Linked DNA regions of Notamacropus eugenii. The protein of the gene in region 1 interacts with the protein of each later gene in a biochemical or structural test. Links are inferred from orthologs where the notes say so. Each region holds a gene or a part of one and is shown on either strand. Other genes may lie near its edges. The genes, in order: SNTB1, TANC1, MAPK12 and ASNSD1.

Region 1 (7,609 bases):
AATATAATTTGAGATCTGGTAGGGCTAGGTCATCTTCCCTAGCATTTCTTTTCATTAGTTCTCTTGATATTCTGGACCTTTTGATGAATTTTGATATTATTTTTTCTAGCTCTAAAAAGCTCTGGTATTTTGGTATGTCACTGAATAAGTAAATTAATTTAGGTAGGATTGTCATCTTTATTATATTAGCTTGGCCTACCCATGAGCAACTGTTGTTTTTCCACTTACTTGGATCTGATTTTATTTGTGTGAAAAGTGTTTTGTAACTGTGTTCATATAGTCCTTGGGTTTGTTTTGGCAAGTAGACTCTCAGATATTTTATAGTGTCTACAGTAACTTTAAATGGGATTTCTCTTTCTATCTCTTCCTATTGGGCTTTGTTAGTAATATGTTAGTAATGCAGATGATTTATGTGGGTTTATTTAATACAAAGTAATTTCATTCTATGAAATAATAGGGAGAGAGACTGGATTTGTTATTTTATTATATGTTGTTGTTCATCCTTCATTTTTTAAGAGGACAAATGACACCGCTGAGTAATATCTGTGTGTGTATGTGAATTAGATTTCAGTGAGGCAGGTTTTCCCAAAGTCATCAGCCTCACTCTCTCTTCCAGAGACATAGAAGTCCAATGACGACACAAAAGTCAGAATGACTGGTGATGGCCCAGGATGCAATGGATGGATGACCTTGGCATCTTTGATATCTGACCAAGCTCTAAGTGTTCCATGGATCCTACTTCAATTGGGCCATACTGTTTTCATCTACCCATTCTGCTGGAGGAAGTCTTCACAGTCTTGGGATAGACATCCCTTTAATTTAATATAAGAAACTTATAGATGAGGAAACTCCCTTTACCAAAACAGATCAGCACCTTCTCTTTAACATAAAGCACTACAAAGGTGAGGAAGGGAGGGAAGTGAGAGGGTAAATGATTTTCCAGGATCACAGAGCCAGTATGATTAAATGAAAAAGATAGTTTGCATGATTCCCATGCACAAGATCAATGAACCTTGGTCTTTCTGGCTCAAGGCTGGCTCTCTACTTATTAGGCCACATTTCTCACAATATTTTATAGATACTGAATAGAAACTAATTTCAACAGATGAGAGATAGCCTGGAGTGACTAGGGAACTAGCCTTCTTTCTGTCTTTAATGGATACTAGCTATGTGACCCTAAGGAAATCACTTAACCTATCAGTGTTCCAGACAAAGTTCTAAGGCAAAAAGTCAGGTTGTCAAATACAAATTTCCACTGGAAGACAAAGCTTCCTTACCAGGGAGCTTCCCATAAGGATGAAATCACACATCTGGACTAAAAAAATGAAGAGTTCCCCTAAAAGATAGAGTACTAATGGGGAAAAGGAAAGGAAAAATATTGTGGAGGAGATTTCAAATTTAGCCTTTGGGGATCAACTTTTCCTGTAACGTGGAAAAGAGGGTTGCATTTAGAGTCAGAGAACCTGGCTCCAGACCTCAGCTCATTCGCTGTGTGTGATTCTCTGAACTTAGATTCTTCTGTAAAATAAAGGGGCTAGTCTCTATGAACTGCAAAGATCTTTTCCACCTAGCAATCTATGTTCTAGCATTTTCTGACCTTGACCAACAAATCTGAACTTCTGAATGCCTTTGACAATTTTCTAAAATTTTAAGTTACAGCTGAGTCGAGGATCTTTATGGGTAGAAGAAACTTTCTACACTGATGAAATCTCCTGTCCAAAGCACCTCCACCCCCACCACCAGCCTCCCAAAAGTCATCAGACTTGAAGAAATCTGTTGTACTAAGAGGATGGGAGTTATGACTGAAGACAAAAGAGGTCAGTAATTTGAGAACATGGAGAATTTTGAGGGGAAGCGTAGATGAGGCACTGAAAGGCTACTGCAGTGGGGGATTGGGGACAGTATGAGGATAGGCATTAGCAGCATGAAGAAGCATGAGGAGTGAGGAGAATGCCAAAGAGAATCTTCACCTATTTCAAATGTTTGCCTAGGACTATCCTGGTGGCCATTAAAGGACAGAAAATGCTCTTCTTTTTCCTATTCCTCCCTCCATACTGCATGGTCTCCTGGTCTCAGAACCCAGATTTTAGAATAGCGCCATTAATACTATTGTTGTTATCCATTATGCTATTAAAGCTTAAAGCTGCATTGAGACTTTTGAGAAACCCAGTATGAAGCTCATCTATATAACAGATTAATAATAATAGAGCTTATATTTCTGTAGGGTTGTTGTGAATAAAGCATTTTAGAAATCAGAAAGACCTATATAGGGGAAGCTAGGATGTGCAGTGGATAGAGCACCAGGCCTGAAGTCAGGAAGACCTGAGTTCAAATCCAGCCTCAGACCCTTACCAGCTGTGTGGCCCTGGAAAAGTAACTTATCCCTGTTTGCCTCAGTTTTCTCATCTGCAAAACAGGCTGGAAATGGTAAACCACTCCATTATCTTTGTCAAGAAAATCTTAAGTGGAGTCACAAGGAGTCAGACATGACTGAATAACAACAACTACAAAGCACTGTACAAATGTGTTAGAGAGGCAGGATGGCAGGCCTTGTAGCAAATAATCCCAGGATTCAACTCCTGTGCCTGACACATTGGTTATGGGACACTGGGCAAGGTGCCTCACCTTTCAATGCTCTAAAGCAACACTTCTCAAATTTTTTGCTCTCAAAATCCCTTTATACTTTGAAAAAATGATTGAGGACCCTAAAGAATTTTTATCAACGTAAATATCTATTGATATCTACCTTATCTGCGATTAAAATATAAATTTTAAAAATATTTAACTCATTTAAAACAAGGACAAACCCACTACATGTTAACATAGATAATATTTTATGAAAAATAAGTATATTTTTCAAAACAAAAAATATTGAGTAAAAATGGCATTTTTTATAGATTTTTGCAAATCTCTTTAAAGTCTGGTTCAACTGAAGATGGTTAGATTCTCTAACCTGTTCTGCATTCAATCTGCTGTCATGTTTTTCCTTAAGACAATCAGGCCTCACACAGTCAAATAGTCAGGAAAAGGAAAGAGCATTTTAATAGGCAAAAAATGAATTAGTATTATCGTGAAATTAATTTTGCCCTCATAGACCTCCTGCAAGGACCTCAGGGACACTTGGGGGAGGGGGTGTCCATAAACACTTTCAGAACCACTACTCTGGGGAAGGTAATGGTGCTAGGTGCTACACACTGTGCTAAGTATTTTACAAACATTACTTCATGTGATACTGACAGCAACCCTGAGAGTTACAGTTTATTACAGTTCTGATTACCTCAGTTTCACCAGTGAGGAAACTGAGAGAAGCTGGCTACCCATGGTCCTTTATGTCAGTGGTAGGGTTGAAAAATGGAAAATGGAAATCCAGGTCTCCTATATGACTGAAATGACTCAATAACAAAACCTGATGCTGAGGGGAGCACTCTTTCCACCACAACATTGCTGCCTCTGTAATAAAAATAAAAGTAATAAATAATCTCAGTAAGATCTAAGGTTTATGCAGAATCACTTTTAAGGTTTGAAAAGTGCTATTGTGGCCTAGACTGGCAATGTACCAGTCTTTTGTAGCATTTTTCTCTATGAGAAAACATGTTCCCAATTCCAACCACTTCAAAAAACAAATCCTCCATACACTGGAGCCTGATACGCCCTAGAGAGAGAAGAAATAGGAAGGAAGTAAAGTTTGGAATGGGATTAGGGAGAAAGGACTCATAAAGCATACAAAATAAAAGAACAAAATCGGATTGAAGTCAAGGCAGGTGACTTCTCTGAGCAAACAGGGAGACAGCACAGTAATTCATGATAGCAGACGTTGGACTAAATCCATTTCCATTCCTTGGACATGACACAAGGCAAGTCCTCTGAACACGGAGAGCTTTGAGGAATTGGGTTACTATGGGGACTTCGGGTTGACCCTAAAGTCTGGATACTCAGGGTCTCCTTTTCTCCGGTTTTTTTTTTTTTCCTGAGGGTGCAAGCTACCTTCTCACTTAGCCCCGGAGTCCCCTTGTCTTTGACTTTCAAAAAAAATTCGTTAAGACGAGAAACCAACCAGAGCTCAGCAGAGAAAGGAAGGATTAGGTTTGGGCAAAGTAGTAAGAGATGGCCCTAGGTTTATTTCAGAAGGGGGATATTAGAAGGGTACGTGGCAAGCTTAGGCCACGAGAGAGGATAGCAGATGTGGCCCAACAAGGCTAGCTGGAGAGAAAAACAGCTGAGAAGACAGGAGCTGAGAGTAAAAAGTCTGTGAAGAGGAAGGGAGCCAAGGCAGAGAGGGGGCTCTTGGCACCGATTTGGGAGCGGTCGTCAGCTCAGGTCTCTGCTACGCTTAGTTGGGGAAGGAGGGGTGTAGGTGGGGTGGTGCAGCATTGGTTTGCCTTTGCTGCGGCGGCAGCGGCGGGAACTGGAACAGGTGAGCTGCGGGTGCCAGGTCCCTTCCCTGCCCTTCTCCCAGTGCCCTTTCCAGAGAAACCCTGCCCAGCTCTTTGCAGTTCGGCAGCTCCCCTCGGATTGGGGTTTTGCAATTGGCGGCAGGGTGCTTCTCCCCCCCCCCCCCCCCCCCCTCCTTCTTTTAGGTTGCTCCACCCCGCCCCGGATCCGGCGAGGGGGGAAAGCAGCAGAAGCGATTAGCTGGCGCTAGCCAACTCGTGCTTGCGGAGTGTGTCTCTGAACTCCGGGAGTGAAGTCCCGCGGCGGCGGCAGCGGCAGGCGCTGCCCCTCGGGTCTCGGGCTTCTCGCTCCCGCAGGACCCCTTGGCCTGCCCCTACCCCCTTCCCTCCAGCACACCCACCCTTCCCCACTTTTTTTTCCTTTTGCAATCACATGGTATTTTAAGAATGCTGGAAAGATGGCGGTAGCAGCAGCAGCAGCTTCGGCAGCGCCGGCTGGAGGAGGCGGAGGCCGGGGACAGCGGAGCGGGCTGCTGGAAGTTTTGGTGCGGGACCGCTGGTACAAAGTTCTGGTGAACTTGAACGAGGACTCCCTGATCCTGAGCAGCGAGGAAGGGGCCGGAGCTTACAACGGCATCGGGAGCGGCGGAACCACCAATGGCTCTTTCGGCCGGAGCAGTGGCGGCGGCGCCAGTGGCCACGGCCCCGGGGGTCTCGGGGGCGGCGGGGGCGCTGAGAGCGGGAACCAGTCCCTGAACACCTCTGTGCCGGCGGTCGGGGGCAGCCCCCAAGTGGGAGTACGCACTGCCTTCACTGACCTGCCTGACCAAGTGCCCGAGTCCATTGCCAACCAGAAGCGGGGCGTGAAGGTGCTGAAACAGGAGCTCGGGGGGCTGGGCATCAGCATCAAGGGGGGCAAAGAGAACAAGATGCCCATCCTCATCAGCAAGATTTTCAAGGGACTGGCAGCTGATCAGACCCAGGCCCTGTACGTGGGGGACGCGATCCTGTCTGTGAATGGAGCCGACCTAAGGGACGCCACCCACGACGAGGCAGTTCAGGCGCTCAAGCGAGCGGGTAAAGAGGTTCTGTTGGAAGGTAAGGGGTTAATGCCTCCTGAGACTCGCTGCGCATACAGACACAGGCATACACACAGACACATGGACACACACACACGCCAGGTGGTAAAACACACGCACTCGCTGGGGGCCGCGCCGTCTTGACAACTTTTGTGTCCTACCAGCCTCACCTCCCCATTCCATGAAGTCTGCCAGCGGCAGCGGAGAGATGACAAGCCCGGGTCACTTCAACTAGCTTTCCCGACCTGGCCTTGTAAACACTACCCTTGGGCTGGTACTACAGTAAAGGTCGGGGTCTGGCTGGGATGTGAGGGTGTGGGAGGAGTATGGTTGGAAAAGTGGAAGGAAGAGAATAATCCCAACCTCTCACATGAGAATTCCTACTCTGGCGCTTTGGGTCTAGGGATTGACTGGGCGAATTGGGAGAGACAGGGACAGACCAGGAATGTAGAATCGAGCGCATTTAGGGTTAGGGTTAGGGTTAGGATCGAAGGTCCCCGATCCCCCTCCCCCACCCCCACCCCCCCTTGCAGTTGGTGTTGGGCAAAGTCTAAGACCTTTCACTGGCTGCACGTGTGACCTGTAGAGACTGGTGATGTCAGAGACAGAGACAGAGAGAGACAGAGAAACACTTGTCAGCTAGCTTAGGCAAGGCGAGAGTTTTGCTAAGAAAATGTGGCAGTTTCGTGCAGGAGTTCGCCACTCCTTCTGCAGGGCGTCTGTCGGTCCAGTCCGGCTGGATTCTTGATTGCGCTGCGTGGAGAGCTGTGAGGTCGTTTTCTGCCCACATTTTTTTTTTCTAGGCTTTCTTACTGTAGTCATATGGTCTGGGGCTTCAATCTGCACTAGTTTTTTATCCGTGCCTGAGGTGCCTTAGAAACTACTTCGTGAGCCGATTAACCTGAACACCTCTACACCCCTCACTAGGGCTGCGTCTGAAATACCCTAGGAATTACTGTTCATTACAGGTTTGGAGATATCCAATGTTGTGAATGCGGGGGAACAGTTGCAGACCAGACAATTAATTCTTCATGCCAACTGCGCGCACATTATCCCTCCATTCTATGGAACAAAACATTCCATCTGAGACCCCGTAAAAAGCCATTTGTTGTAAGCCTGGGAGCACGGAATCTGGGTGGAGGAAGACCAGTCTGGCCAGACTCCCTGATGGCCTTGTGGTGGTGCTGCTGTCTCTCGGTGTGGAGCTGTGAGAGGAAGAGAAGCCGCGGTCGAGCCCAGCGCTGCGGGGAAATAAACTTTGCAACTTGTGACAGGTGATGCAACTCCCTGGAATATGATAGCCCACCTGATGGCCCAGAAGAAATGAATTAAAGCGACGCGGAGTTGGGTGTGGAGGTGTTTCTGTACTCTGCCGACGTACTGCTTTGTGCCTCCTGCTTCTACCGCCCTCCGCAGCTAACTCGGCACTAGTCAATTTGCTTTGGCTTGGTGATTACCATAAGTAAACAGTCAAGTTTTTCTTTGCCAAGGTGTGTTGGGGTAGGTGGGTGGGTAATAAGACCTGGTCCCAGCCAATTATAATTATGTGTGTATCTATATAATATACACATATACACAAACATACAGATACCATCCAACCCTATGTCTTTCTGGAGCCCAGTAAAATACTGAATAGAGGCTAGTAGGATCATTGACTTCAGGCTGTTACTTTAGGAACTAGCCCCATCACCTCTTCTCATTCAGTTTTCTTTTTTTTCTTTACACCCTTTTCTCTTTTTTTCACACTCCTTGGGGTCTTCCGGTTTTCTGACCAGCAATTCAGATAGTCATCTAAACAGATGCTTTGTGATGTAGCAGGCAGCACAATCTGAGTTCCAGTCTAGCCTCGGGCTCTGGCTGGTTATACGACCCCAGACTAGTCTTTCAGTGACCCTAGGAACTTCTTTCCTAGACTTAAATTGCAGAACACTAACTCAGTTACATTGATTGCAAGCATTTCCTCACTGGAGAGCTTTCTGCCCTGATGAAATTATTGGTCTGGACGAAAAAAATTATCTAGTAAAGAAGAAAACAAATTACCCTGGGGTTGAGGTCAGTGGGGTGGTCTTGGAAAGGATAATATCAAAGAAACATATGATGAGGGAAAGTGGGAACATGCCAGATAGAGAATGAGCTCAC
Region 2 (7,693 bases), on another chromosome or scaffold:
CTACATCTAACCATGAGTTAGTACCTATATATATGACCAAATGCCATTACACATGTCAAGACTGTTAGTGATGTGATTCTTATTTCTTTATGTTGTCCAAGTCTTTCTGAATTCCATTTACTTTGTCTTTCTAAAGTCCAGACAGGCCCTTCTCCGCAAAACCCTTTCTAATACGCCTTGAAGTGCCTTTACTCTGTCACTACTGTCTTTTTTCAATTTTTAAGGACTACAGAATTCAAAGTATTTCTTCTTTCACTGTGTGTATTACATAGGCTATAAACACTGGCACTGATCCTAACTGATTTTTTAAACAAAATCAAAGACTCTGGGCCTAGGGAAGCATATATTTCCTTTCAATGCATGGTTTCCTGCTCTAGGCAATAAGCTGTATGGTAAAATGACCTACCAGTTTAATATTTGTTGTTTTTATTTCCCCAAGCTTTGGAAAGTTTGCAAATTGGAGGGCAGAAAAATTATTGTAATCTCATTGTGTTTTTAAGTACAATATATAAATATGGCACACATGACAAATATTAAGATTCCCAACCAAAACATCGCACTCTTTTCCAGATGGGGTTCATACTTCTTAGATCTAGAGCTGTTCTGGACCCAAGGTCTAGTTCAACTCCCTCATTTTACAGTGGCAGAAACTAAGGCCCAAGGAATGGACTTTGTCCTGGGTCAAACAAGTTATAAATTACAGGGGTCGGGGGCAGCTAGGTGGTGCAGTGGATAGAGCACCAGAGCAGGAGTCAGGAGGACCTGAGTTCAAATCTCACCTCAGACACTTGACACTCACTAACTGTGTGACCTTGGGCAAATCACTTAACTCCAATTGCCTCATCCTGGGTCATCTCCAGTCATCCTGGTGAATATTTGGTCACTGGATTCAGATGGTTCTGGAGGAGAAGTGAGGCTGGTGACCTGCACAGCCCTCCCTCACTCAAAACAAAGTCAAGTGCAAGTCATGTCTTTATTTCTCTGATGGCATGGTCTTCTTAGGCAACAAAGGATGAACACACACACACAAATTACAAAGGCATTATTTGAACTCAGGTCTTCTCACTCCAAAACAAATATCGTTTTCTCTTTCCATATATAATGTAAAGCCAATTATAAAACCTTTTAAAGTGCAAGAGATGGTGATAACAGAAGAAAGCATACTCACCCTACCCACAACAATATCTGGTCCCTTCAGTAACACAAAATCAAAAGAATGGGAATAAAAGATTTTTTTTTTTATGGAGAGGTTATTTAAATTACTTGAAACTGGACTTATTTAGTATTTTAGAAGCTTATTTTGTTCCTGTGGTAATACTAAGTATTAAGCAGACCACAATCAACTTCTAACCCTTAGTAGACAACTTGAGAGAGATGCCTAGGCTCATCAAGTTTAAGTGATTTACTTATTGTTATACCACTTGTTTCAGAAGTAGGATCTGAAATGAGGTCTTCCTGTTTCTCATTTCATATATTCATTCACTTATTCATATGGAAAGCTCAAAAATGTTCCAATGTTTTCTTTAAAACATTGATTTTTGTGGGAAAATTTTTAACCAGCAAGTTTTTAAATAATTACTTTATATTGTGGTTTTCATCATTCTTTTCTGTTTAAACTATATGTTCTTCCTACCTCAAATACAGTTGTTTTGATGTTCTTTCTGTGATGTAGCTATATGTAACATTAGCTGTTTAAAGTTGGAGATTAAATTGTATAGTATAACATGTGTATTTTGAATTACATAAACATTGTAGGAAGAAGGAGAGACAGGGCCCCTCTGTGTACAAATTTCAGATTGCTAGCCATGTGACTGCTTAAAATATTAAACACCACTGAAAATGTTACTTTATATCAGTGCTCTAAAGCCACTTTAAAAAAAATCAAGTCACTAAAGAAAGAACTTAAAGGAATTAATGGTAACTGATAAATCTATAGATATCTGTTAGTTTCTAATTATAGGGAAACTTCATTAAATTCAACCTTAAATCAAAATTTTTGTTCAATTATGTCCCCCTCCTTGGGGCTCCATTTGGGGTTTTCTGGGCAGAGACACTAGAATGATTTGCTGTTTCCTTCTCCACTTTACACATCTGAGGAAATTGAGGCAAACAGGGTTAAGTGACTTGCCCAGAGTCACTCAGCTAGTAATTAAGTGTCAGAGGTTGACTTTGAACTCAATGTTTTCCTGACTCCAGGCTGGGGCACTCAATCCACTGGGCCACCTATCTGCCCCTCCAAAGCATGATTAAACATAATTTTTATTGCATATATTGGAAGACAGAATTTGGAGAAAATAGGAAGTAAAAAAAAGTAATGCAAAGAATAAATTTGACCTGCTATACGTTAATTTGTAGTGGGAGATGAGCCAGCCAGTCTGTTGCCTTGACTTTCTTACTAGTACTGCTTCTTTTACCTCTTAATATTACACATTTATTAGAATCAGGTAGGAGGGTCTCTTTTGTTTTGCATCCTCCTGCTTTCCCTTTGGTGCTCTGTCTACTCACTCCTGTTAATGGTAATTTGATAACTTTCGTGCATTTAAAATATCTTAAAATAACATTCACAAGATCTCCTTCCTTCTTAGTGTAAATTAGAATGAATTACACTGTGGGTATCTGTAATGTGACTTCTGAAGTAGGACAAAGGGTGCCTTTAGCAGCATTTCTTTTTTGTTTGGATGAGTTTATAGCTCAAACATTAGGTTCAGAATAACTAAGTTTGAAACTACAAGGGAAAATTCAACAAATTTCAGTAGTCCTGTTATACTGACAGAGTTCCCTGTCACTTAGTGCATCTTTTTACTGGAGTCTAGAAACATGGAGATGCTTATTGCTTTATCTTCATTCTGAGAAGTACTGTGTGAGGAGCCAAATTTTATGGGGAACTCGTTTAAAATACGGTTGTCCTGAAAAGAGAATGTCTCACAGACTAGGTTATGGGTTGCCTGTAAACCAGTTTATAGCAACTTCTGTACATATGTTCCCCAATCCCACTGATGAAGCAAACCATGCAAAATTCCTTCTGAAAATACGACAGGCACAATTGATTAAGGGTGCGTAGGTCAGGGCCATATGAAGCATTTGGACAAGGTAGACTACACCTCGTCCTAGAATGAGAGCACGGGGTAGGTGTTACTGTCTTAAAAACGGAGTGTTGGATCTAAGGTATCCAGTGCTTTCACAAGCTCGAGATAAATAGGCATAGTTTTCACTCAGGCTTTGCAGGAATCTCTCCGCCCCACCCCCTTTTTTTTTGGAGGCCCAGACCTGTTATTTTATTAGTGTGGGGAACTCCCAGCGTGGAAAGTCCATCTACCAATGCAGATCAGCATCTTTCTTGCAATGTTTAATCACAGAGTGAGAAGTGAAGAGATTTGATCAGGGTCACCAAGCCCGTATAGATTAGGGGCAGGAGTTAAACCCAGGTCTTCCGGACTAAGGAGTCTGCTCCTTATTCACTGAAGTCTAGGGGAAATGGATTTAGAAAAGGAATGGGGGAACACAGAGGTCATCCAATGCAAACTCCTTGTTCCACAGGTGAGAAGTTAAGTGGATTGTCGAAGACAACTACGTGTAGAGCTGGCATTCGAACTCAGGGCAGCTATCTCTAAATCCTGTCCCACTTCTTCTTTACAGGTGAACATATTTTGGGTCGCCAGTTTTTTGATTTGCAGTTACAATCCAAAATGATAATGTTTTAAAAACTTCAAATTCCTACAGTGTTAATAGACAACGATTGCATTTGACATAGAAACACTTGGCGGGGGGGGGGGGGGGGGAGGGGGAGGGGGAGCCCGAACTGCAGGAGCCACGCAAAGCAGCGGGGCAGCCCGGGTCTGAGCTGGCGGCCACCTCGTTATCTGCGCGCTCCGCTTTGTTTGTCGAGGCTGAACAGCAGGGAGGGGATCTTGCCCACCGGACCCTCGCACCGCCTCAGCGAAGCCACCCCCAGCCACAGCCCTTCCAAAGGGAAAGGGAGAACTAAGAACTAAGCGGAGGAAACAAGCAGGCGAGTGCCAAAAATATATAAATAAATAATTAACACCTCCACACCCCCCCCCCCCCCCCGCCCCCAACAACAACTCCAAACTTCTGCTCGTCTAATTGCTCCCACATGTTTTCCTCGGTGATTTCCAAAGGGCAGCCAGACCCGGGCTGGGGGTGATGGGTGGTGGGGGAGAGGAGACAGCCGGATCCCTTTATTGATCTGAAGGAGGAGGAAAGAAGGCCAGATCACCCCTCGCCTAGTGCATCCTCACTCCCCTTCGTAGGGAAAGCTCGGACCTTTAGGGACAGTCTCCTTCGCTGAAGCCCGGACTCGGAGTCCGCGGCGGGGTAGGAAGGGCACCGCGCGCAGCGTCCATTTAGCGCTGCTCCCGCAGCGCCCCAGCCGGTCCCTTCTGCAAATAGACTCCGAGCGAGGGGGGGGGGGGGGGGGGGGGGAGAGGAGGAGGAGGGGAGAAGGAGGCCGGGGGAGCGGGGCGGGAGGAGGGGATGGAGGAAGGTGCCTTCGGGAAAACGCGCAAGGGCGGGGATTAGCGCTGCCAATGAGGCCCCGGTGTTGGCCTTGCTAGGCGGGGAGACCCGGCTCGGAGCAGCCGCCTGGCAGTAGCAGCCCCGGGAGCGGCTGGAGGAGGAGGAGGAGGAGCAGTGGCAGCAGCCCCAGCGGCAGCGGGGCAGAGGCGGCGGGGGGCGGCCGGGGCGCTGCGGGGCTGGGCTGGGCTGCGCTGCGCTGGGCGCTGCGGGGCTGGGCGCGCACGCCGGGACCGCTGAGCCGTGCGCCTGGGGGAGCGAGCGCCCCGAAGGAGCTGGAAACTTTCCCGGCGGCAGGTAACTTGGCGCAGTCCCGGGCGCATGGGGAACAAGACGGGGCTGACTTCTCGGGAGGATGTTTGTTAAATTCCCGGGGTGCGGGTGGCAGCACGCGCTGCGTGCAGGGTGAAAGGAAGGATGGGCGTGGGAAAGTTTCTCTCGCCGCACCCCCCCTTTCCCTATGCACCCCCGTTTCCAGCCGCCAGGGAATACGCTCGGACATGTTGGGTGCTCCGCGGGGCCTCGGGTCTGAGCAGCAAGTCCGCCCTTTTCCTTGCTCTTCCTGCCCTGCCCCGCCCCGGCCCGGCCCGGCCGCGCTAGGCCAGCTGCTGGGCTGGTGGGAATGGCCCTGGCGCTGTGGAAGTTTGGGGTCCCTCCTCAGGCACTTCCCCGTCCCGTGCTCTGGGTCCTTTTTCCTCCTCCCAGTTCTGTTGCCCCCAAGCTTGGCCAGGGCCTGGGCTGCGCCTGGTACCTGGGGCGGGGGAAAGTGGTGGGAGGTAAGGGGTACCTGGCACCGCTAGATTGGGGGAAGGACGGCGCGCAGGGGCGTTGGCAATGAGAGTGACCGGGGTCTCCAAGCTGGAGGGGCAAGTGTTGGAGGGAGATGGATGGTGATGTAAGCGACATTCCCCGTAGAAAGTCTCCAACTTTTAAAGAAACAATATAACATCTCTCAACTCCTCTCTTCCCCCCTCCCTTTTTTCTTTTGTACTGTGTAGCATAAGGATGGTTTGTCTTGGATAAAGGAAAAGAATTGTGTCAAGAGTGCGTCTACTCCTTCACTCTCTTAATTTAAAGTCAGTGTAAATCATCTCTTGGGGAGATGAAGGGTATTGACCTCGGGGTCTAGGCAGGGGCACAGTTTCCCAGGGGTGGGGCACTCCACAATTCCAGTCTGGAAAGGAAACCCCAAGCGTTGGGTGCTCTCTGTAGATCAAGAAAAGTCTCTTTAACTGTCTTTAAAAGTTTGCTTGTTTTATGGTGCTAGGCTTCTGCCCGGAAATGTGGTGATTGATAGCCAAGTAGAGGAGCCACTGGGGGTGGCGAGAACCCGCCGTGAACCTAACCGTAGTCATCCACTCTCACCTTTGTTTATACTTAGGAGCATGAATGGCTGTACCTGGAATGATGGCTTTGGAGATTATCTGCAAACTCCAAATTTAACTTTGAGAGCAGAAAATAGGTCCTTGGGCAGTTAGTTAGTCCGCTTTAATCCTGAACTTGACTGACATAGAACGCCCCATCCCCTTTACTTGCAAACTGGAGGACACAGCAGTTGAATGAGTTTTGCTCAGGATATCCCCCAGACGCCCCTGCTGGAAGGAGGTGCCTAATTCAAAACCTTTGAAGAAAGGATTTAGGAACTGGCTCTTGTCACTAAATAAGGCTTGTGTATTGGTTTTCTCTTTCGGTGGGCTAGTGGGGAAGAAGGGTGCCCTAGGAAAAAGGGATGTTTGTGTCTTGTCTTTGCTTTTCCTCTATCATCCTTATGTTTGCCAGGGTGGCACTGTAACGCAAGGGGGAGGGGTGCCTAAGACTAGTTACAGATTCAGGAGTAAGTAAAGGCTTCCCCATCTGGCAGAGTAGTGTCAGCCCAGCTACTGGAAAAGGCAGGAGATTTTTTGGCCTTTAACAGCTGCCTTTTTTGATTGCTGGGAACGAAAGAATTTATGAGTGGCTGAGAGGTGTTCATTATAGTATTTTGAATGTTTTACTCATGAGCCTTGCAAAGAGATTACATCGAGTGTGTTGATTTCTGTGCAAAGTTTCTGTGTGAGCCATAATGCTTGGTGGGTGTCAGCCAGAGTGCTTTTGTAAGTATATCCTGGTGGTTTTAAAATTAAAAGTATTCTCAAGTAAAGGAAGTAAATATGGTATCTGACATCCTTCAGTGTTTCCGCCCAGTGTTGGTCCAGTTACTCACCTGCCAAGTGATCCTATTCCAGAACTTCCTGACTACTGTGATTTGACAATAAAGGATGGGAAATAGTGTCATTGACTTGTAGTGAAGTCAGGAAAGTCCAGAAATAAATTTAAGGTTCTCTTTAAGTGACCTGGCCTTGCAGATGTGGTGCAACAAACTTAATTTTGCTAGTAGTTGGAAGTGGTAGATTTCCTGCTTTCTCTGGTTTGGTTAAACCCTAGAATGGACAAATTATTATTTCTGTCCGTTGTACAGCACAAACATAGCTTTTTTCATAGCCAGCCTTGCTCAGCTTCCCATAAAAGCCTGTAGGGAAGGAACGTTTTGTTGGTCTAACCACACTCATTTATTTGGTGCCATTACAGCTTTGTGATAGTGGTGATCGGAGGGCATAATTTTAAGGACAGTGAAGTAATCTTGATTAAATTGTTCATTTTTGTGCCACGTCATCTTCTGAATAAAGTGTTCCTGATTAATACTTCATCCCCCAGGGAAGCACTAAAACCAGCATCCCTGTAAAGAGAGAACTGTAATCCATAGTATAATTATGCCTGCTAGCATAGCTGGAGGTTAACATTATGTCAATGTTTCCATTATACATTTCTAATTCAATTGTTAAGGTTTTGTCTGGGTTACAAATGGACTTTGAAGGTCTTAGAGAGTAGCTTTTTTTTTAAACCTGCCCAAAGTTCAGTTTAATTGAGAAGTTAAAGGGGTAAATTTGTGAAAGCAAAATCTAGCCCAAGGCTTTTTGTTTGTTTGTTTCGGTGAATTATGCTGGTTTGGTTTCCAGCTTTTTTTTTTCCTACCTGTAAAACTAGTAAAAAGCAGCTCCTTCCCTGTCCTTTTTCTAATTAAAAAAGGTACCAAAAGGCACATATGACCAGAACCAGTTGTGTGACCTTGAAGGAAAGTCAATTCACCTCTCTCTGGCCCTGTGCAGTAAATGAAAGGCCT
Region 3 (7,495 bases), on another chromosome or scaffold:
GACTAGTTATGGTTAATCTGGAGAAGGGACATGATACTGTAGCTTGTTTTCAAGTCTTAGAGGGGTATCAAGTACAAGGATTAGTGTGTTCTGCCTAACCCTGAGGGCAGAGCAGGGAGGAGTCACTGTGGAGAGTTGGAGACAGCTCCATGGAAGGCCAGACCTCCAGTATCAATACTGTTTTTGTGAAATTTGTATTTCCAATCAAACATAGAGACTTTGTGTATATTTTGTATTATATGTGCACCTGGTGGTTCCTCCCATGGAGGATAATCTCCATGACGGTAGGTAGGTACCCTTTCTCTTTGTACCCTTAGTGCCTGGCACATGGTAGGTGTTCAATAAATGCTCATTGATTGATTGGTGGATGAATTAAAAACTCAAGTAAAAGTTTCCTAAGGATGTGAGCTGTCTAGGGGTGCCCTGAGTGGCCTTGGGAGCACCCAGCATCCTCCTTGAGGTCATGACTCAGCTTCCCAGACCTGGAGAGGTGGTGAGCTCAGTCCAAGAAGAAGCCAGCCTTCAGAAGAGGAGAGAAGTCTGGCTTCTCACTGATGCTGTCTCACCTATTCACCATGTCCTTGACAAAACTCCCTTCCTTCTCTGGGCCCTGCTGTCCTCCCCTGCACAAGGGGGTTGGAATGAGGGTCTCTGGGCAGGAAATCCCATCATGACAGAAGGAGCCTGGGCTCCAGTCCCTCAGAGAGATTGAAGGATGGAAGGTTGGTACCTGAATTTTGAAGGCTTGGATCTAACAGAGAGGTAAGGGTTGATGGTGGACATGCTCTGGAGACAAACCAAATCCGCTCCATAGCATGACCAAGAGCCAGACCCAGCAGCCAAAGGAACGTTCAAAGAAGCCAGATTGTGTGCAGAGAGCCTTGAATGTCAGGCTGACACAGCAGTGTCCTGAAACCAATAGAGAACACCACCCCTCTGGCCCTGTTCTGGCACAGTCATTCCAGCTCCTCCAGTCAGCTCCCTTCCTCAATCCTCTGGTTGCCCAAGTTCATGGGTCCCCAAACACTGCTGGAGACAAACGGTCTGCCCAGGGCCTCCCCAGATAATCTGTAAATCAGCTAACAGAAGAGGGAAGGACTAGGGCAGGGAAGTCTCTAGAAACTTGTAGGGCTGAGGGACTTGGGACCCTAGCCCTATGATGCCCCCCATTGGGGGTGGGGGCATCCACATGCTAATGTTTTTTTAGGAGAAGGGTAACATGGTCAGAATTGTGTCCAAGCAAGCGGATTTTTACAGTTTGTGGGAGAAGGATTGGAGAAAGCAAAAATTGGAAAAAGGGACAGTCTGGGTGAGAGATGAGGGAAGGGGCTACTAGGCTTGTGGCTAGGCTTGAGTGAAAAGACTTTGGAATTGGACTGGGGGCTGAAGAAGAGAGAAGACTCACAAAATGACAGAGCAGCAACAAGTCCTAAGCCAAACTCAGACTGAAGATCTCCAAGGAGGGCAGCCTTGGCCCATCCCACCTTTGGACCACCCTGAAACTTCCACCCCCTGCTCCTTATTCTGCCCTTTGAGGTCAAGCTGAACCAGGCTAATTCCTCCTCCATCTAATACTTAGGATTTGTCTCTAGATACTTAAAGGCAGCTGAAATATCTCTCCTCTGCTTTTTGCCAGGCTAGTGGATGACTCAGATTCTAAACCTCGGTGACTTGGAGATAGCCTCCACAGAAATAAGAGAGTTGCAAGTTTGGGGAGAGGCTTAGATGGATTAAATTAATTAAGCTAAATTAATCAATTGATTAGTTTATTCCTTTATTTCATGACAAACACAAGCCTATCTGACGCTTCATTCTTAATTGTCATCACCCAATTGTTGCCTTCCTACAAGCTGTAAAATGTGAGAATGTCCCAAGGCTCTGAACCAGCTCTGCTTTTCTTCTTTTCACTCTTCATTGGTAATTTCAGGTTTCATAGATTTATTTTTCTTCTCTATGCAGATGATCCCCAAATCTATAGATTTGTATGGATTATGCATAGAGCCCTTAATGAGTTTCAATCTCTTTCTCCCTCCTTCCCTCCCTCTTTCCCTCCTTCTCCTCTCCTCTCCTCTCCTCTCCTCTCCTCTCCTCTCCTCTCCTCTCCTCTCCTCTCCTCTCCTCTCCCCTCTCTCCCCTCTCTCTCCCCTCCCTCTCCCTCTCCCTCTCTCTCTCCCTCTCTCCCTCTCCCTCTCTCCCTCTCTCCCACACACACTCACATCACCAACTGCTGCCTGCTGGACAGCTCCACTTGGATGTCCCTCTGAACTCAACACATTTACCCTATGGTTGATCAAGGGGCTAACATCTATGTATTTAAGCATATAAAGGGCTTTGTTCTGCTTGGCCCCTGAAGGCAGGACCAGGAACAGTGGACAGAAGTTGTATTGCGGAAGATTTTACCTAGAATTAAGACAAACCTTTCTAGCAAAAAGGATTGCCTCACCAAAGTGGCATGTGCTGTATGAGGAGGGAGGGAGATGCCCATCACCTGGGAGCTCCAAATGGAAGGTGGATGATCACCTTTGGTGCATGGTGTAGAGGGCATTCTTTTATAGGCACATAGGGCCTCCCTTTCAGCTCTAAGATTCTGTGGACTTTTGTAAAGATGCCTGTCATCAACTTGGGGCAAGGTACGAAATTCAGATACAGGGGGGTCCCTCTTTTCTTAGAACTGTCAGTGGACTAGGGGGACCACTGGCAGGGGTGTGCTCATGAATGGTTAACAATCAGCTTTAAGGGAAAAAAAACCTGACCCACTTTTAAGTTTAACCTACATTATTACCATTTTGTCTATCACTTTCTTAAGCATAGACAATCAATAGAACAATAAATCAAGTTCTGAACTGTAGTACTTGCTGAGTTCTGAGTAGTAAATGTTAACAATGAAAATGAACAACCAGCTCTCTCTAGCTGGTCCAGCCTGGCTAGAGAGAGATGGATGTTAGCTTGGACCACTGGCCAGGAACAGACCCCTACATATTTTAGAAAGGTGTAGATAGGGTGTTGAGATGCAAAGGACATGATTGACAAGACCTGGGGGACCTGGGGAGTGTGACTCATCTGTTGGAAATGACAGAGGGCAGAGCAGGTAGCTGGCAAAACAAGGCTGGAACTCAGGGAATATTAGCAGCAGAGATCAGAGCCTGAAAAGACATCTGCACAGAAATGAAAATCGGACCCATGGCAGCAAAACGATCAGCGGAGAGGAGAAACCGGTTCAAAGATCCGAGCCTTCGCGCCCCCCCCCCCCCCAAGATGAACACGGGGGAGGGGAGGGAGGAGGGAGGAAGAGGAGCTCCCGAGACCAAGCCGGAGCTGTCTGCTAGGTAGGAGAAGTGGGGGGACCCACAGATACCAAACAAGCAACGTCAAAGACAGAGTCCCCCAGCAACCATGAGGGGAACTGGAGCGGTGGCGTTGACAGACAGACTCAGGCTGATCAGTTGCAGGTTGTAGGCAGCCTTAGATTTCACAGACAGTTCCAAGCCCCAGGGGCTGCCCCAACTTTCTGGGGGAGCAAAGCTCTTTTCTCCTACGCAAGAGACCAGTTCTAAATGGAGGAGCTCCAGTAAGGTCATCTTTCGCCCCCAACCAACCTCAGTTTCCCTACTTAATATAATGGAGATAACGATTTCACGAGTTTCCAGTGAGGGAAGCACTTTGTAATTCTTAACGTGCAAGAGGACGTTGTCAAACAAAGCTCCAGAGACTTGGGCCCTGCTTCCTCCCCACCCCCACCCTACTCCCCTTGGGAGCTGACGTCTGAGCAAGAGGAGGGGAGGCTTGGGCAGGGCTGGAAAGGGAAGGAAAGGGAAAAAGGAGAGAGGGGAAGGGAAAGGAAGTGGGAGGGGAAGGAAGGAGAGGGGAGGGGAGGGAATGGAATTGAGAGTGGCGCCTCCCTGTTGCCACCTCCCCCCATCAGGTAGTTGGGGCTGCTTCCCAGGGGAAGAGGAGGAAGGGCCGGGGTCACGTGGGGCCGCACTGCCTGAGGGTCAACAGAGACAGAGGTTTAGACAACCCCTGGTCGGAGGGGAAAAGAGAGACAAAGAGTCGGAGACTAGGAAAGGGGAGGGGGGGAAGGGGGAGAGAGAGAGAGAGAGAGAGAGAGATACAGAGACCAGAGAGGGAAGGAGAGAGTAACGCACAGAGACAGAGAGACAGAGATCTGAGACAGAGACAGAGATCTGAGACAGAGACAGAGAAAGAAAGCACCAGAGGCTGAGAGACAGAGAGAAAGAGAAAGTACCAGAGTACGAGTCCAAAAAGAAAGCAGAAAAAGAAAAAGGACGAGAGAGGGAGAGAGACTGAGGAAAGAGGGCGTAAGGGGAAGAGAAGAGAGCCCGGCACAGAGTGGGGGGGGTGGCCCCCTTCACTCTCGAGGGCCCAGGGCGTGGCTACGGCAGGCAGCCGCAGCCTCTCGCCCCTCTGGGGTGGGGGGAAATACCCTGGCGGGTTAGCCTTTGTGGGAGTGTAGTGTTTGTGTATGTGTGTCTGTGCATGCGCGCGCGTGTGTCCGAAAGCGAGTGTGAGTGCGTGTGAGCACAGGGGGTCAGTGACCTCCGCGGCACCCCGCTCCAGTCGCCATGAGCTCTCCTCCGCCCCCCCGGAAGGGCTTTTACCGGCAGGAGGTGACTAAGACTGCGTGGGAGGTGCGGGACCTCTACCGGGACCTGCAGCCAGTGGGCTCGGGGGCTTACGGGGCCGTGTGGTGAGTGGGGGCCACGGACAGGGTGTTGCGCTGAGTTGGCAGGGAGAATACGAACGGGGCTGAGTGACTGGGCAGGGGGTGTCCGGATGGGATCTCACCATGAGATTATCCATGAACAAAAACAGCAGTTGACTGCTCCCAAAGGTCACATTTTATTTCCCTCCTGGGACCCAGCCCTAGCCCCTGACCATGGGCCTGGAGGCTGAGGGGGCCGGGGAGCTCAGCCCCGCCTGGGCCCTGGGGGAGCGTTTCCCCCGGGGAGGGGTGGCTGAATGCACGTGTGTGGAAGGAAAGGAGGGAACCTCCTCTTCCCAACTCCGGGCTTTCTAGACTTCCTGGGGGCGGGAGGGAGAACCCGGGACGGCTTACCAGCCGGGATACTTGAGTGCTCGGGTGTCCGGTCTCCAGCTCGGCCATTGACAGCAGGACTGATACCAAGGTAGCCATCAAGAAGCTGTACCGTCCCTTCCAGTCCGAGCTGTTCGCCAAGCGCGCATACCGGGAGCTGCGGCTGCTCAAACACATGCGGCACGAGAACGTGAGTGAGCCCTGCGACTACCTGCTCTCCTGCCCATCGGGCTGGTCGCCAGCTTCCCAGGGGTAGGGGGCCCTCAGCACGCTGTACTGGCTGCTGGCTGCCACAGCCAGCCTGTGGGCTGACCTGCTCCCGCCAAACATAAAGGCTCACAGGAGAGATGAGATGGAGTAGGCAATCCCCCACACCCCGCCCATTTTGGCGGCACCATAGGACTCCCACGACTTTTCTGGGAGAAGTCCCTGACCAAATCGAGAGAACACATTATCTGGGGAGGTGAAGGGGTGACTTTTCCTTGTAATTTAGCCTCCAGTGATCTTTGAGGATCTGAACAGAATCAGCAGGATGGGAGCTCTGGGCAGGTGCTCTCTGAGGTACAGGTAAGGGTGGGTGGAGGGGGAGAGCAAAGACCTAGAGTCTGTTCCTCAACTGCCCTGACCCTCCCCCACATACTCCCAGGCCTTTAAATCTGGCCTCCCCAGCCCATACTGTGCTTCAGGGTCCCAGCTCTGCTGGCCAATGAGGGTCCTCATGCTATGGGCCAATGGGCAAACTCACCCCTGAGACCTGGGGAGCCTGAATGCCCCATGGTCCCCAGTGCCCTGGGACTAACCAGTTAACTAGACTCGCAGCCCACCCTACCACTTGGCTAATGAGTTTATCCCAGAATATTGTGATATCCCAGTGTCTTCTTCTTTTACTATACTGGGACCTCCCCTGAGACATGCCCAAGCTCCCAGGATGTTCCTCCCCTGCCCTTGCCACCAGGTGAACTCCCCAAGGGCACATGCCCAGGTTTGTGCCTTTAAAAGCATGAAATATTGATTAGGAATCTGCAGCATGAGCTTGCTGTGCAGGAGGAGAAGAGAACCTTTAGAAAAGACCCCGAAGCTATCTAATGCCTAATAGACATTATATGTGATAAAGGCAGACTTCTGAGCAGTCCATGTGGCCTGATGGGACAGCTCCTGGCTGGTCTGAGGACATCGGGGAAGGCTTCCTGGACGAAATGGCCTCCGAGTTTGGCTTTAAACATGAGTTGGAAAGAAGGAAGAGGGACATTCAAGGCCAGTGAAATGTTGTGATGAGAGGCAGGAGAACATGGAGTGTGTCTGGAAGGTGCAAGAATAACTATGTTTCTAAGGTGTTATAACATTTACAAAGTACTTTCCACACATATTAACCTACCTCAGATGCAGCTTCCTCATCTGTAGAATACAGGGGAAGGGAGCAAGTGTTTAGTAATCACCTACTATGTGCCAGGCACTTTACAAATATTATCCCATTTAATCCTCCTAATAGCACTGGGAGGCAAATGCTATTATTATCCCCATGTTACAGTTGAGGAAACTGAGGCAGACAGAGGTTAAATGACCTGCCCTGAGTCACTCAGCTAGTAAGAATCTGCTGCCAAATTGGAACTCGGGTCCTCCTGATTCCAGCCTCAAGACATCTCAGCACCTAGCTGAGAAGAATGCTAGAATCTGCTTCACAAAGTGGCGCTGCCCAAATGGGGTAACACTCTCTGCAAACCGTAGCTTGCCATAAACATACTAGTTGTGGCTCTTGTCATTTGAACCTCACAACCACTCAGTGAGCTAGGAATCAGTGTCATCTCCATTGTTCAAAGGGGGAAATTCTGGCTCCAAGAGGTCCCATTTGAACCCAGAACCCTAGACACAACCACATTACCTTCCAGAGAACATGTGAGTCAAGCTTGGAAAGGCAGGCTAAGTCAGGTTAAGGAACTGAGCACACCTCATCTCCAGAGAGCTTGCTGGGCAGGGGAGCAGGGTGGTCAGAGCAGGGTCCAGTTAGATTGGTTTGGTAGCATGTGAAGGATGGATGGGAGGGAGAAGAGACTGGAAGCAGAGGAACCAGCAGTGATACTGTTCCATTGGTCTAGGGAAACCACAGATGATGGAGCCTAGACTTGGGGGAGGGGAGTGAGGAAGGAATGGAGTGGAAAAGTCACCTGGAAGGATGACTCCATGGGGAGTGGTAACATTCCATGCTTCCCCCTTCTGAGGTTCCATCTGTAGGGGACAGGCAGGTAATACCTGTGCAGGGCAAGGACACATTTGAAGCCTGCTCTCCTTCTGTCTCCCCTCCCACACTCAACTCCCCTATGCCCACTTTTCTGGAGGCAGGAGGCTGGTAAATTTGGCTTTGGATGCCATACCCTCATCGCCCTCTGGAGGGGAAATCTGGCTGTAGCTGGATAGAGGGATGCTCTATCCCTCCCCAGATGG
Region 4 (7,562 bases), on another chromosome or scaffold:
AGTTCTGAAAAGGACTGAAAACATAATACAAAAACATACTCCAAAAAACTAAGAAGTATTCAAACTGAAACAAGTCAAATTCTATCCCACAACTAACAGATTAGAAAATATGGCAACAAAAGAAAATGATGACTATTGTAGGTATTACTGGAGAACAATAAGACTAAGGAGCTGTTGTTTGAGCTATGAATTGGTGCAATCATTCTGGAAAACAATTTGGAATTGTTTCCCAAAAAGGCACTAAAACTCTGTATTCTTTTGGCCCAATGATACCACTGTGATGCAAAGCTGCCAAAGAGATATAAGAAAGAAGAAAAGGACATACGTGTATAAAAAAATTATAGAGCACTTTTTGTCATACCAAAGAACTGAAAACAAAGAAGATCCCCACCAATAAGAGAATGAATATCTAGTCAAATTATGGCGTGTAGATGCAATTAAACATTATTGTTCCCTAAAAAATAACAAACATTGAGTGAACCCTGGGAAGATTTATATGAATTGATAAAGATTGGAGTAAGCAGAATCATGAAAATAATTTATATAAGGCCTATATTGTAAAAATAAAACAACTTTGAAAGATTTAAGAGAACTCTGATCAATGTAATGAACAACCACAACTCCAGAAGACTGGTGATAGAGAAATCATATTTCTCAATTCTTGACAGAGATGATGAGCTAAAGGTATGGAAGAAGGCATTCATCCTTATAAATGGATAATGTGTGAATCTGTTATTTTTGATTATACTTATTTTTTATGAGAGGATCTTTTATTTGGGAGAGGGGTAAAAATAAAGGGAATAGATGGAGTATTGATAAGAGTAGGAAAAAAAGAACATCAATGAAACATTTATTAAATATAAAAAAGAGAACAGAAGAGAGTTCAAAAAGGGAAACAGATAATCAGGACAGTATTGGAATCATGGTTATATATTTATCATACATTTAGGGGGAAAAAATACTGTACATAAGAGAGATTCACATAGCCAGAGAGGTGACACAGTGGATGGAATACTGGGCCTGAAGTCAGGAAATCCTGAGTTCAAATCCAGGCACAGACACTTACTAAACATGTGACTCTAAGCGAGACACTTAACCTCTGTTTACCTCAGTTTCCTCAACTGCAAAATGAAGACAATAATAGCACCTATCCCCAGGATTAAAATGAGGATCAAATGAGATATTTGTAAAGCCATTAACACAGTATCTAACTCAGGTGGTATATAAATACTAGCTATTATTATTTCATACACAATTCTCTTCTGTTCTTTGTATATAGAAATGATCTTGTTTCTTGATTTTTTCAAGTTCACAATAATATTTTTAAAAGAATAGATCATACCATATGAATCTTGTTTCCTTTTTTGAAAGGATTACTTGCAGACAAGGGGAATATTTTAGATATAGTTTACATAAGCATTAGTGTCACACTTAAAGTACCTCATCCTAGTAATATGGACAAGATAGAACAACATGGGCTAGATGAAGTTTCTGTTAGATAGGTGATTTGTATGATTAATCCAAAAAGTAGCTACATTAATGAGTTTATTCTGGTTTAGAAGGAGCTATCAAAGAGAATGCCCCTGGAATTTGTCCTTTTTCTCAACGGCATTGAAGAAGTCATAAAAGGCACATTTGCCAAATTTGGTAATGATACAAAACTGGAAAGGATATCTAAATGTTAAATAGCAGTAGAGAACCAAAAAGATCTCAAGAACTTAGGAAAATTGGGCAAATCAAATAAATCAGAGAAAATTTTAAATCTGAGTTTTAAAAAATCTTCATATATAATGTAAGGAGTGGTTGACCAATAATTCTTGTAGGAAGAACTAGAGATTTTACCTGACTATAAGGTCAATATGAGTCAACAGTATGACATGACAATCCAAAAGAAAATTAATGCTTTCCTCTGCACTAAAAGAAGCATACTATATAGAAAAAGGGAAGTGATATAGTAAACTGCCCTGATCAGACTAGATCTAGAGTACACTGGCCAATTCTGGAAACAAAATTTTCAGAAAGACATAAATAGGAACATGTCTTAATGAGGTAAGCAGGAATAGTGAGGACTGAAGACCATAGCATATAAATTAGGGATGTTTAGCCTGAAGAAAGGGAGATTTAAAAAGGTCATAATAGCTGTCTACAAATATTTGAAGGTCAATCCTGTGAAAAAAGGAGTTAGACTTGTTCTGCTTGCCCTGAGGGGAAGACATTAGGAGCAATGAATACAGTTGCAAAGTGATGGGTTTAGGCTTGACATAAAGAAAAATTTACTAAGAATTAAAGCGATCCAAAAGGAAAGGATAGGGATTTGAGGAGAACCCATGTTAAATGTCCTCTGTCTTGGGAGTTTGGTAGAAAGATGGGTGTTTCATCAGGTGGCTGAAGATTGTTATCAGGGAAGAGAACCTAAGGATAAAATATCAGGAATACTCTGAAAGGCTGGGAAACCACTACAGATTTTTTTTTTTTGTAAGGCAGGAATCTTTCTACTACAATATGGCCTCAGCCTTGTGAAGGTGAATACTGACTTACTATTTGGGATAGTATTAGTCTCAGGAACTCATATTATTACAGATTTCAAGCTCTAGGGGACCAAAAAGATCACCTAGTCTGGTCTTATAATTTTATAGATGAGGAAATTGAGGCCCAGAGAAGTTAAGTCATTTTGCCCAAGATCATATGTGTCAGAGTCAGGTTTTAAACACAGGCCCTCTGAGTTAAAATTTATTCTGCTGGAGTCTTTCTCAAATTGGTATTTTTCCAAATCACAAAATATTACACTAATATAAGAGCTGAAGAATGACTCAGAGCAGTGCAGTATGCTAGATGGAGTCCTAGAATGAGATGAAAATAAAATCAAGATAAACTCTCCTTCCTATGTACTATTCAGCAGGTCTTACAATACTGTTGAAAAATTGTGGGTCACTGTACAACCTAAACAGTACAACATATTATTCATGTAGGTAATAATAAATCTAAAAAGTCATCTTCTGTTAATTGCATCTGGATGAGATTGTATGATAACCAAAGGTCCAATTTCATAAATGTGGCTGCCAACTGGTCCATCAGTTTGGGTATCAAGGGTAGTAGACGACCTGTTATCTCCTGGACTTGGATAGCAATGGCCCCTCATGATGGTAGTAATGCTAAAGTCTCAGCTCCCCATTCTTCTGGGATATGTTTCTGGGATAAGAAGAGGCAAGTCAGTATACCTTGTATAGGGTTGTTTCTGCTAAATGGCGAAGATGAAACCTTCCAGAAACTGATCTGCTAAAACCCTTACCAAGCTCTGACTCAGGGAACAGAGGAAACTGGTTCTGTGACCCTTTTTCCTTTTTGGTATCTGCAGATTTCTCTAGTTAGCCAGATCAGGCTTTTTGGGGGGGGTTGTAAACCCCCCCCAAAGAGGTCTTCCCAAGAATTCTCTCCACATCATCCATTGGAGGAGCCTAACCCTGGAGTTAGGCTGCCTTAAACATCTGGGAGTGGAGCTCCATAAACAGCTTCACTAAGGTCAGGGATGCTGTCCCTACACTGCAAAAAGCAAACAAACAAATAAATAAATATGGGGAACTTTAAGTGCCATCTTGGGTCCAGGCCACTGATTCAGTCAGGAATTCTCAACTTTCAGTCCCTCAAATTCTCTCTTTAGGGTTTTTTGTTTTGTTCTGTTTAGATGCAAAGTCTGGGTTAACCGCTATAACAGGTCCATGGTCTCTGCAGCCCCCTGCTGGGAAAAAAGCAAAACAGCAGGTAACCTACCATTGCTGCTATAATCAGTCTCCAGGATGGGAAAGGACGGGAAACAGGGGAAGGAAGGGAAGAAGGAATGGAAGGAGAAGAAGGGGAAAAGCAACGGTGGGAGAAAAGGGAGGGAGAGAGGAAGGAAATGAGCATTTATTAAATATTTAGCATGTGCGCTACACTAAGCACTTGGGATACAAATGCACACTTGGAATCCCAAATACTTGGATACAATTATAAGTAAAAAGAAAGAGTCCCTGCCCTCAAGGATCTTACTTTCTAATGAGGGAAGATGACACAAAAGAGAGCTGAAAAGCAAGGGAGGGAGGAGGAGGAGGGTCAGCAAGGATGTGGGGAAAAGACTGGCCTCCATCACTGTAAAAGAGGGTAAATTTAGGTCTATAAGGTTGTTATGCAGAGAGACAGAGCACCACAATTCAATTAGGCTGAGACAAATGGTGAGCTGGTTGCCAGTCTGAGTTTAAAAACTACAGGAATCTATCAAAGGCAAAGAAGGAAAAATGAAGGAAATTTAACAAAGGTAACACACAAGCTGCTTCTCCAAAATTAAGGTCTTTTTAATTCAGAGTAATGGAAGACCTAACATGGTAACACTGGTATCACTACATGGTCCGAAGTGAGTGCCAGAACTTCCTGACCAAAACCTGAGAGTGATGTCAGTTATTATCACTACTTAACTAATTATTAATCTAGGCCCTCATCACACCATGCCTACATGCATTCAGTCATTCAACAGAAATGCACTATGTGCCCACTCTGAACAAGGTAGCGGATTAGATGCTGGGGATAACTAACATTTAGGATTAATGGAGTGCTTTAAAGCTCCCAAAGCAATTTTTTTCCATTACCAGGTTTGAACTTCACAACAACCCAGTGAGGTACATACTATAAATAGTATTATCTTCATTTTACAGATAAAGAAAAACAGGTTAAGAGTTAAGCAACTCCCTCATTCATTATCATATATCTAGTAAGTTATCATAGGTAGTTTTCAGTTCTAGATTTTCCTAAATCCAAGCCCAGTACTCTAGCCACTCTACCATACTGATAGAGAACTAGGGAATTATATCTATGGATTTGATTTTTCAAAAGTATTCTGAAATTATTTAGAGTCAAATCTGGTGAATGAGGTGGGTCACTAAGCTAGATGATGTTATTCTCAATTTTATAAAACTAGAAGTGACTATTTAAAAAAAAGTTGAGAATGATTTGTATGGTACAATAAAGTAATTATTCTCATTACTTTTTGGTCATTCTTCAAGTATGATATTCAATCAAAACTATTTTATAGCAGAATACTCTTAGTGGCACCAGCCTTGATTTTAAGAGGCAACCAGCTGGGCTTCTTTTCATTTGATGGGTAGAAGTTAAAAAAGAGAGCAAAGCAGAAAAAAGTGTCTTATTACTGTAAGGAAAAGGGAGATTAGGGGTGAAAATGACTTGTGAATTCATGATTGAGTATGTATAGGTAGACATTTGACCAAAGATTTCAGTGGATGACAGAGACCAGGGCATATTTCCTACGTCAAGTCCCTACTTAGCAACCTGAGTAAATAACCATTCTTAGAGGTGCTAATCTAGCAGGCTGGCACCATTTTCTCATTGGCAAGCATATGTTGTTATTGTTCAGTCATTTCAGTCCAACTCTTTGTGACCCCATTTGGGCTTTTTGTTTTGTTTTGCTTTGGCAAAAATATTAGAATGGTTTGCCATTTCCTTCTCTAGCTCATTTTACAGATGAGGAAATTGAGTCAAACAAAGTTAAGTGACTTGCAAAGGGTCACACAGCTAATAAATGTCTGAGGCCATATCTGAACTAAAGTCATCCTGAATCCAGGCCCAGCACTCTATCCACTTCACCATCCAGCAAACCATTGCAAGCATACAGAACAGGATATACTCCAAAGAGATTTAGGTTTGTTTTCTTTTTAACACAGTTTGAACTTCTGTGGTATTTCTTTTTTTTCTTCTTTTTGTTACATTAATATATATTTATGGAATAAAATAAACACTTCCATAACACATAATAATAAAAGAGATGATCATACATGAACTGCAGATCTACCATGCACAATTTGCTATTCCTTTCAAATATACAAAATTATCATATAAATTTACACATACATATTATTCCATACATACTTCTATTTATCCGTTCTTCCTCTGGATAGCATCCTTCTTCACACACCTTTTATGGTTAATATGGTTATTTAGAATAGTCAAAACAACTTATTTACTCATAGTTGTTCTTAAAATAATACTGCTGCTGCTGTTACTGTGTACAGTGTTCGCTTGGTTCTGCCCATTTCACTCTTCATTATTTCATATACGTCTTTCCATGGTTTTCTAAGATCATGGAGCATATCCTCTCTGATAACACAGTATATTCCATCACAATCCTGTACACAACTTGTTCAGCCATTCTCCAATGGATGGGCATCCCTGCAATTTCCAGTTCTTTGCCATCACAAAGAGAGCTGCTATAAACAGTTTCGAACATAAAGGTTCTTTTCCTTCTCCCCTAATCACCTTTGGTAGTGTCGGATCAAGAGATATAGATAGTTCAATAACTCTTTAAGCATAATTCCAAATGCTCTCCAAAGCGGCTGGATCAGTTCACCAATGATGAAGGTGTCCCAGTGAGAGCTCTGCTAGCAATTAGTTGAGATGGAAGTCTGTAAAAGTGCGCCAATCATCAGATTAGGTAAAATGACAAAAATGAGACTAATTCACTGGAGCTATTCTAAAAATGCGAAACTAAGCTCCACGGCGACTCAGCTGGGCTTACACTTGGATCCAGGGTGATACCACCAGGGGATCCAGACCCCAAAGGGGTCAGAGAGCAAAAGGACTCATAGGGACAAAAAATATCTAAAGAGCTCTTGGTGTAGCAGCAAAACATTAGAACCTTAGCGGGGCTGGGATTAGCTGCGGTACGTAAATACAGCGGAATATTGTCGTACCGTAAGAAACTGGGAAATGGAGGGTTTCGGAGAAAACTGGGAAGATCTGTATAAACTGAAGAGTTACACAAGTGTGCGTCATCAGAAAGACCTGAGGATTCCGATCAAAGCAGTAACCATCCACAACAGAGCAGACATGCAAAGAGAAATACGCATTTTATGGAGGATATTTCTTTTTCATTGGGGGAGGGGGGAGAAAAAATAAATGTCTGCTAATTTGAAAAACCCAAATTTAATTAAAAACTAGTTCTCACAATAAACAGTGGATTTAGAGGCAGCGTGCGGTAATGGACAGAGAAGGCGTCCCCACAGACACCTGGCGGCTGCGCGATCTGGGACAAATCGCCGAACTTTCCAGCGCTCCAGGCAGCTCTTCGGTACTGAACTTCCCATTACCTAGCGTATCTGAGTCTCCAAGCCTGCGAAATCCCTAGGCAAAGGAACCTCCAGGTGCAAAGAGGGCGACAACCTGAGGGCCTACTGGACAGTGCTGGACACGCGGAAAGTTTTTAATAAACGCTTGTTAATTCCAAATAAGCATAAATTTTAAAAGTCTCGATTTTTTCTACAGGGGACAGCAACGTACTATAAGCAAAAGGCTGGGGCGGAGGGGGGGAAGGGGAGGGACGCGGCGAGGGAAGAGAAGCACCGACAAGGAGACAAGAGCAGCACTCTTAGCTTACAGGCCAGCGCTTTCGAGAACTCGGGGCCGGCTTACGCGGCTGCGCATGCGCAGAGACGAGGGGGAAGTTAGCGGCTGCGCACGCGCAGAGAAACTGGACCCACGAGCCACTCCGACGACTAGCCGGAGCGTGCAAAACTGGTTAC

What was found.
Region 2: the proteins of SNTB1 (region 1) and TANC1 interact in a test that uses a peptide from one of them, tested with the Homo sapiens proteins (2 studies listed by IntAct, with this or other methods). The link is inferred for Notamacropus eugenii from reciprocal best matches to the Homo sapiens genes SNTB1 and TANC1.
Region 3: the proteins of SNTB1 (region 1) and MAPK12 interact in a test that uses a peptide from one of them, tested with the Homo sapiens proteins (2 studies listed by IntAct, with this or other methods). The link is inferred for Notamacropus eugenii from reciprocal best matches to the Homo sapiens genes SNTB1 and MAPK12.
Region 4: the proteins of SNTB1 (region 1) and ASNSD1 interact in a test that uses a peptide from one of them, tested with the Homo sapiens proteins (2 studies listed by IntAct, with this or other methods). The link is inferred for Notamacropus eugenii from reciprocal best matches to the Homo sapiens genes SNTB1 and ASNSD1.

The regions. Positions count from the first base shown.
Region 1 is NC_092875.1:124,293,385-124,300,993, forward strand, and holds the start of SNTB1 (beta-1-syntrophin), read left to right. Parts: upstream 1-4,608; 5' UTR 4,609-4,849; coding exon 4,850-5,489; intron 5,490-7,609. UniProt on the Homo sapiens protein: Adapter protein that binds to and probably organizes the subcellular localization of a variety of membrane proteins. May link various receptors to the actin cytoskeleton and the dystrophin glycoprotein complex.
Region 2 is NC_092876.1:217,990,587-217,998,279, forward strand, and holds the start of TANC1 (protein TANC1), read left to right. Parts: upstream 1-4,688; 5' UTR 4,689-4,830; intron 4,831-7,693. UniProt on the Homo sapiens protein: May be a scaffold component in the postsynaptic density.
Region 3 is NC_092874.1:304,234,008-304,241,502, forward strand, and holds the start of MAPK12 (mitogen-activated protein kinase 12), read left to right. Parts: upstream 1-4,475; 5' UTR 4,476-4,583; coding exon 4,584-4,708; intron 4,709-5,116; coding exon 5,117-5,246; intron 5,247-7,495. UniProt on the Homo sapiens protein: Serine/threonine kinase which acts as an essential component of the MAP kinase signal transduction pathway.
Region 4 is NC_092876.1:256,830,200-256,837,761, forward strand, and holds the start of ASNSD1 (asparagine synthetase domain-containing protein 1), read left to right. Parts: upstream 1-4,555; 5' UTR 4,556-7,562.